2 linked regions of the Canis lupus familiaris genome follow. The protein of the gene in region 1 purifies or fractionates together with the protein of each later gene. This does not show direct contact. Links are inferred from orthologs where the notes say so. Each region holds a gene or a part of one and is shown on either strand. Other genes may lie near its edges.

What was found. The genes of interacting proteins can lie anywhere in the genome.
Region 2: the proteins of AGO2 (region 1) and TARBP2 purify together in Homo sapiens (co-immunoprecipitation; 10 studies listed by BioGRID and IntAct, with this or other methods). This does not show direct contact. The link is inferred for Canis lupus familiaris from reciprocal best matches to the Homo sapiens genes AGO2 and TARBP2.

Annotation. Positions count from the first base shown.
Region 1 is NC_049234.1:35,819,413-35,822,991, forward strand, and holds part of AGO2 (protein argonaute-2), read right to left. Parts: intron 660-3,579; coding exon 478-659; intron 1-477.
Region 2 is NC_049248.1:44,930,599-44,934,854, forward strand, and holds the start of TARBP2 (RISC-loading complex subunit TARBP2), read left to right. Parts: upstream 1-1,380; 5' UTR 1,381-1,665; coding exon 1,666-1,718; intron 1,719-1,809; exon of another isoform or gene 1,810-1,967; intron 1,968-2,281; coding exon 2,282-2,451; intron 2,452-3,254; coding exon 3,255-3,357; intron 3,358-3,886; coding exon 3,887-3,982; intron 3,983-4,256. UniProt on the Homo sapiens protein: Required for formation of the RNA induced silencing complex (RISC). Component of the RISC loading complex (RLC), also known as the micro-RNA (miRNA) loading complex (miRLC), which is composed of DICER1, AGO2 and TARBP2.

The DNA.
Region 1 (3,579 bases):
CGGGCGGTGGGGGCTCCATCGGGGGGCACTGGGAGCATCACCCTACTGTTACGAGTCCCATGCGTGAAGGCCACAGAGACACGGAGCGGGGCTCACAGTGTTGGGCAAGTGAACACTAATCCCCAGTGTGCACGAAGACGGGCAGGCCATCTTTTTGTGCTAGTCTGAGAATTCTGGAGATGACTTTTTCTTTCCTTTTTATTTTTTTAAAGTAATGTCTGGCCAACATGGGATTCGAGCTCACAATCCTGGTATCAAGAGTCACATCCTCTACTGATTGAGCCAGGGAGGCGCCCCCGGTGACTGATTTTTATATTAAAAACGTTTCATGTTAGTAGTGCTATAATTTTCACCATAGAAATCCATGACCATCACCTCCCTGACTCCAAAAATCCACTCATCCTTGGACAGAGATTTCCTGACCTCCAGGGAACGGTCAGGGTCAGAAGCAGACGCTCCTGCTTCCTTGGTCCTTACCTCATGGATGGCAAATGCCTCATGACCACATCCAGGGCCTGGATCGTCTCAAAGGGGACGCTGGGCAGCCGCCCCGAAAGTGCATCGTGTAACGCCTGTAAGCTCACACAGGACACCCACTTGATGGACACCTTGAAGATGCGGTCCTTTCCTTCTCCAGGCAACGTGACCTCCAGCTCCACCTGCGAGGAGATCCAGAGCACACGGTTATTCACACTCGCCTCTGAGAAGCTGCTGGGAGGTTGGGGGCAGTGGGTCAGCTTCCAGAACTGGGTAGGGAAGTTCAGCCCATCCTTTGTCCAAGCACGCACAGCGGGACGTGCACATAGCCCTAGCCCATGAGTGCCGGCAATCAGCGGGACCTGGGACTTCTCCCTGGCCCTGCACAGAGGTGGCCAGGGGAGACAAGCAGCGACAGACCGTGTCGTGGAGGCCATGCCAGCGCAGGGCGGACGCTACACAGCAGGTCCAGACGGGGTAGGGGACGCGGGCAGGGGGCGGGGAGCTAGTCGGGGGCCCAGGGATTAACTCCCAGTGGAACTGGGAACACTGCAGAGGGTCTGGGAGCTCCCATGTTCTGGGTCCCTTAAGGTAGGTTTGCGGTGAATAAACCATAAACAGAAAGCCTTCTCAGAAGACACGTGGTAAAACAAACAGCCAAATGCTAACAACTGCAGACTCCAGGCGGGCGTGCGCGCCCCTACAGTGCCTCAACTTTCCTCTCTGACTAGGCAGGTCCACAACGAATAGAGAACGCAGGAGGGGGGGACCCGCCAACACTTCCAGAAGCTCTTCTACAGACTGTGTGCACCTCCGGGTACAAAACGCAGAGAAAAAAAGCTTCAACTACAAGACCTATCAGAATCTCCTGCGAAGGAATTAAAATTCTCAGCCAAACCTCAGAATATTTGCCACAATAGTGCTCAGTGGTCCCCAACAGCTCTGTCCAAGAGAACTTTTGTGATAACGGAAACAGTCTCTTCCCATGCTGCCCAGGGCGCTGGCCGCTGGCCGCCTGTGGCCACTGAGCAGTGGAAATGTGGGCAGTGTGGCCGAGGGACTGAATTTTCAGCTTTGTGCACTTTTCATGAGTCCACACTTACACGGCCACGTGCGGCCAGCGGCTGGCGTACTGGACGGTGGTCGGGAGCGGGCCCCAGGGACTCACTCCCCGAGGCAGACAGCGAGTCCCTCCCCCCTCTCCTCCTGCCCCCGAGCACCCCTTGCCTCCCCACCTTTACCCCGTCGCTTCACTCCCCCACTTGTGACCCACCCTGCAGTTCATTATTCGGTCACTGAGGGGGACGTTCTGAACACTTGGCGCACACAGACCCCCACTCAGCTGTCATTGAAACAATTTCAATATTTGCCAACAATACTTCCCAATATTGATGGAATATCTCATTTGACAGGTGACAGGGGCACCTGGGTGGCTCAGGAGGTTGAGCGTCTGCCTTGGGCCCAGGGCATGATCCTGGGGTCCCGGGATCAAGTCCTGCATCGGGCTCCCTGTGTGGGCCTGCTTCTCCCTCTCCCTGTGTCTATGCCTCTCTCTGTGTCTCTAATGAATAAACAAATAAAATCTTTAAAAAAGATAACTTGACATGTGACAGATTATATACGTTTTATCCCTGAACATCCAAAGATCCCAGGAAGGGAGACTTTATTCACTACTTTTTACATATTATAAAAACGCAGATGCTTAGACTAAAAGTGTAGCCCGTGGAACTTCCCACGTGCTCACTGGGGGGCTGTCACCCTCGGTACAGCACAACACGGATGCATGGCCACAGCCCCTGTGCCCAGCCCACCCCAGCCCTCCAAGTCTGCGAGTCCCCAAAGGAATGGGGGTCCATCCCGCTGCCTGTGCACCACCTGCCTGGAACGCCCTCCCCCAGCAGGCCAGGGGAGTCACGTCCCAGGCCAGTGTGCCAGCCGCACAGCCCCTGTGCACTCCTCACTCCCTCCTCACTTGAGAGGCCTGCAGGCCCCTCTCAACTCCTGAGGAGCTCCGTCCTCACACACACTCACTACCCCACATTCACACGTCATGAGAGCAGCAAGCAGACTGCGCGGAGTCCCCTGCACCCGTGTCCAAGAGGACACCTGCCCGGCAGCACTCAGAGCACCATCCCGCCTGACAGCCACTAAGTGGCCGTGGCCCAGGCCCAGCGAGGACACAGCAGTGAGAGCACAGACGCTTCTAGGCGCATGGACCTCGGGACTGACCAGAGAGTCACCACACCATGCCCCAGAAGGTCTCCGTGATCGGGTCCCTTTCAGAAAGAAATGACATAGGTGACGGATGCACATACAGCTGCTAGAACCAGGAAGGCCAAAACCACAAGGAGCTGCCACCTCACACCTGTCCAAATAGCTAGAATCAAAAAGATGAAAAATAAAAAGTGTTGGCAAGGATGCGGAGAAATAGGAAATGTGCATTGCTGGCAGGATTGCAGAGCAAGATAAATGCCATGTGATTTCATTTATATCTGGAATTTAAAAACAAAACTAATGAACAGAAACAGAAAAAGAGATTTGTAAATACGGAGAATAGTGGTTCCCGGGGGTGGGGGGTGGGAGGATGGGCGGAACGGGAAGGGGACGAAGAGGCACAGATCTCCAGGTATAAGGAAGGACGTCACAGGGATGGAAAGCGCAGCGTGGGGAAAGTGGCCAATGATACTGTCATGACGTCGCACGGGGACTGTGGTGACCACACTCCCCGCGGGAGCGTTTCCTCATGTACAGAACTGCCTGTCACCATGCTGCACACCTGAAACCAATGTAACACTGCATGGCCACTATCCTCCAATTAAAAATAATAGTCTGAACCTCCCCACCCACCCACCCCACGATCCTGCAGGACTGTGAGCAAGCAGCCACGGGGGGACTGTCCTTAAGGAGATTAGAGTCCGGCCTCAAAGATGTTTCTATGAAGTAATGAGGCGTTCAGAGAAACACACCAAACTTTTCTTTGCAAGAAAAGCCCTGCCATGCCATTTTGCCACATCAATTAAGAAAATGTGAAAAAAAAAAAAAGTGAAAAAGTGGCAATTATGTGAGGTGATGGATGTGCTGATTAACTTAATTGTGGTGATC
Region 2 (4,256 bases), on another chromosome or scaffold:
CCCCTGGCCCCCCGGGACGGACACGCCCTGAGCGGGGGATGCTGCGCTGGAGCCGCCGGCCTCTTAAAGGAGCCCGCCGCTGCCATCCGGCGCGCTCCAGGCCCGGCCCCGGCCCTCCGGGGCCCCGCGCCTCCCCGCAGGCGGGGTCGGGTGGCCGTCGCACCTCGAGCCTTGGCTGGTCCCCGAGGAGCCCCCTGTGGCCGGTCGGACACCCTGCCTGCTACGCCCCGAGACGGAGCCCCTCCGCGCGGGGACCCCGGCCGCCCAGCGCTCTGGCGCGGCTCCCCCTGCCTTGCCGAGCCAGCCAGCCGCCCTGCCCGTCGCCGTCACCACTCCGGCTCTACCCAATTGGAATCCGCCGAGCCTAGTGCCCGAGCTCCTCAGCGCCGTTCCGGGGCTCCCCCGGCTCTCCACTACCTGGCCCAGCCTCGGGACGCTCGTTAGAACCAGGCATTTTCGTGGTGTCTCGCCAAGGTCACGAGATTCTCCTACATCTTTGAACCCGGTGGCCGGGACACCCTAGGGAGGAGGGGCTGCAGCTCTGCACCCAGTTAGCGGGTTAGCGTTCAGAGGCCGGAGTCCTCTCCTGCTGTCTCTTCGGCCGAGAGACCCCAGACCCACAGCCGCGGGAACGAGACCACGGTGTGCGTGAGTCCTAATGCTGTCGCCCCTACAGCCCGATTCTCAGGCCCCAGAGAGGGTCCCGGGCCACCTACGGAGAGGTTCCCTGGGGACGGCCCAGCAAGGCTTTAGAGAAGACCTGAAACCAGACAGGCTGCGGGCCAGAACTAGGGGCAGGGAATGAAGGGCAACCCGGGAACACGAAGCAGGGGCTGTGAGACGAAGGCCCCGGGGCCGGGAGCGAGGAGGAACTGCGGGCCGCCGGCCGGCCGGCCCCAGCGCGGAGGGGCTCGAGCGCTCTCCTCCCGCGGCCAGGTGAGGCCACCCCCAGCCCGCGCCGAGCCAGGGTGCGACAGCCCCTCTTCCCTGGACCAATCGCAGCCTTTCCTCAACAAAGGGGCGGGGCCGAGGGGCTGCCTCGCTCCTGGCCCCGCCCCTCGAGGCTCAGTAACCAATCGCAACGTGCCTAGAGCGAGCCAGCGCAATCGGACACGACCAATCCTATCGCGGAGCTCTCCGCGCACGCCTGCGCCTGCCCCTGCGCGGCGACAAAGATGGCGCGCGAGCTGCCGGTCTCTGTAGTTTCCTCGGGAGCCTGCGGACCCGGCGCTCCGGTTAGGCCTTAGCGCCCCGCCCCCAGCCGCTTCCGCTCTGCTCCCGCGCATGCCCACTCCGGGGAGCGGAGACGCGGAAAAGAGGCGGGACGCTATTTAAAAAAAAAAAAAAATTCACACGCACAGACACACGGACACACGGACACAAAGCCACCCTCCGCTCGGGAGGCCACCGTGGAAGGCTCCGCTCCTCCCAGGAGGCGGTGCCGCATCCCCGGGCGACGCCCGCGGGGGCTTGTGGGGCGGGCGGCTCCCCTCCCGATGGAGACTCGGGGAGGCGGGTGGGCGGGGGACTCCATGTCCCGGCATGCCCCGCGGCGGGCCCGACCGGCCGCGACTCGGGGCTCGGCCCCGGCCCTAGCTCGTCGGCGGTGTTCTGGGGCGCGCGGAGGCTGCAGTCACGGTGGGGCCCGCGGGCACGGAGGTGGGAATGAGTGAAGAGGAGCAGGGCTCCGGCACCACCACGGGCTGCGGGCTGCCCAGGTGAGCCGCTTCGAGCCGACCCCTGCCGGGCGAGAAGCGTGGCGCGGCGCGGAGGTGGTAGCGGCGCGGCCCCAGCATGCACCTGGCCCGAGGGTTGTTCCCGGCAAGCACCGGGGTAGTGGGCCGTGGTTCCCGGCATGCACCCCGGCAGTGGCCACGGCCTCCTGCTCTAAATAGTTTGGGGTTGGCCCGGTTCCCAGACTGCACTTGGGGCACTGGGCTTTGTGCTCCCGACATTCAGTGCGTTTGGTGGGTACCGGGTCCCTGGGCTGCACTGTGTGGGGACATGCACCTCCTAACTGCACTGGGGTGCAGGATCCTCCTCCTGCTTAACTGAGACAGGAACAGTGCGTTGCCCGCGTGCTCTGGGGGCCGTGGACCCGGCTTCCAGCCCGCTTCTACTCCACACTGAACCCAGCCAATGTGTGCTGTACTGCCCGGGGTCCCCTGGACCCGTGTCCCCCCATAGTGTGCCTGGGTCTGATACGACAGTGCTTGGCCGGGTGGGCGCAGAGTTGGAGGTGTGATAAGGGTCCGTGACCCCCTGCCCCCGCCTCCCCCAGTATAGAGCAAATGCTGGCAGCCAACCCGGGCAAGACCCCGATCAGCCTTCTGCAGGAGTATGGGACCAGAATAGGGAAGACGCCCGTGTACGACCTTCTCAAAGCCGAGGGCCAAGCCCACCAGCCTAATTTCACCTTCCGGGTCACCGTTGGCGACACCAGCTGCACTGGTGAGGAAGGCTTGGGCAGCCTGGCTGGGGTGTGCATCCGCAGGGCCCTGGTGGCTTTGTGTCCTGGAGTCTCTCCCCAGTCCTTTGCTCCAAGGCCAGTGAGGGAAGGAGAGATTTCAGGGGGAAAAGCCACGGACTCGTTTGGGGGAACGGGTCTTTGAGGAGGCGGGTAGGACTCCGGAGAGTTAGAGGAGCAAGCAGGACCGCCAGAGGGGTCTGGCACATTGTCGTCATCCTAGAGGAGAAAGACGGGATGAACCAAACTCTCAGCGAAGTTTCGAAGGAGTGAGTGCCTGCTGCACTGGGCTCTGTTCCAGGTGCTTGACCAAATTCCTAGTTCGTCTTAAATCGCAGTCTAATCCAGGGATGTGGGGGATAGCACCTCCGAGCTGAATATGAGGGAGCCAAGGCTCGGGGTGGATGTGAGTGGTGCAAGGTCCCGGGCCTGAGAAGTGGCGGAGCGGGGCCTTGACTCCGGAGCCTGCCCTCTTTCTACTTTCCCAGACATCTCTATGTATTGAGAGAAAAGAAAGCACTTCCCAGAGGCAAGGAGAGCCGGGAAAGCGTCTCTGCCCAGGGTGTCTGAGCTCCAGAGCAGTCGTGCCTGGCGTGGCTTGATTTGGGGAGCTCTGGGGAGCAGAAGCCCTCCCTTCTAGTAATTAGCGCAGCACTTCCGGTCTTGGGCAGGGGCAGGTGGTGAGAGGGGCTTGGTTGACTCCCTCCAGCCCTGAGGAGAGAAGCTGTGGGTGCCGGCTTTTCTGTCCTCCTAGTGACCTCCAGTATCGCCCACGCCCCTCTCTCAGGTCAGGGCCCCAGCAAGAAGGCAGCCAAGCACAAGGCAGCTGAGGTGGCCCTCAAACACCTCAAAGGGGGGAGCATGCTGGAGCCGGCCCTGGAGGACAGCAGGTGAGGGAGGACCAGCCGAGGCCTCGTAGAGACCCGGCCAGGAACCCAGGCCCCTGCGCTACCTCCTCTGCCCACCTTGACCTGGCCGGACAGGGCGGGATGCTTCCAGGGCTCCCGCTGTTGTGAAGGATCCTGTGGGGGGATGTCAAGGGGCTGTGGCTGTGGTGTGGGCCCAGGCTAGGGAGGGAAAGGGGCGGAGGCTGAGGCTAGAGGGGTCGCACCCCAACACGCCTCCTCTCTCTAGCAGGTTGTCCTCCCCTCTTGCACACTTACATTGGGGTTTGTTGCCTCCGTGGCTCTTGTGTAGGAAGAGACCGTCTTTCCCCTTGTCTCAGTCGCTTTGATCCAGTGTTTGGCAGCAAAGGATCCCAGAAGGTGGTGGTTAAGCTTCCCTGAGTCTTTGGCTCCAGTGGGAAGGGGTTTTCTTAGGGGACGGGCAGGTCAGGAGGACCTGGGTCCCCACCCTCTACTCCCCACCCCACCCCTGCCCACATGGGTGTGAATCAAAGGCCCCCTTCCCCTCGGGAAGTTCTTTTTCTCCCCTAGACTCTTCACTGCCTGAGGACATTCCAGTTTTTACTGCTGCAGCGGCTGCTACTCCTGTTCCATCTGCTGTTCCAACCAGGTATCTTGTGTTCCTGCCTGCCTGAAGGGGGGAGGTAGGGGTCCCGGCTCCTGGCCCCCCAGCCTTTGGACCCAGGCTGGTCAGGCAGGAGGAAGTCTGAGAGTAAGCAGAGGATGGAATAGTTGGGGACCAGAATTTGAAGACTTTGCCTCAGTTGGTAAGCTCTTGGGACAGGAGGTAATCCACGATTCTTAAATAGCCACAGAGAGGACATTTGGCCATGGTCAGGGGGCCTGCAGGCCCCATTTTCTCCTGAGTTGGCCACGTGATGGTC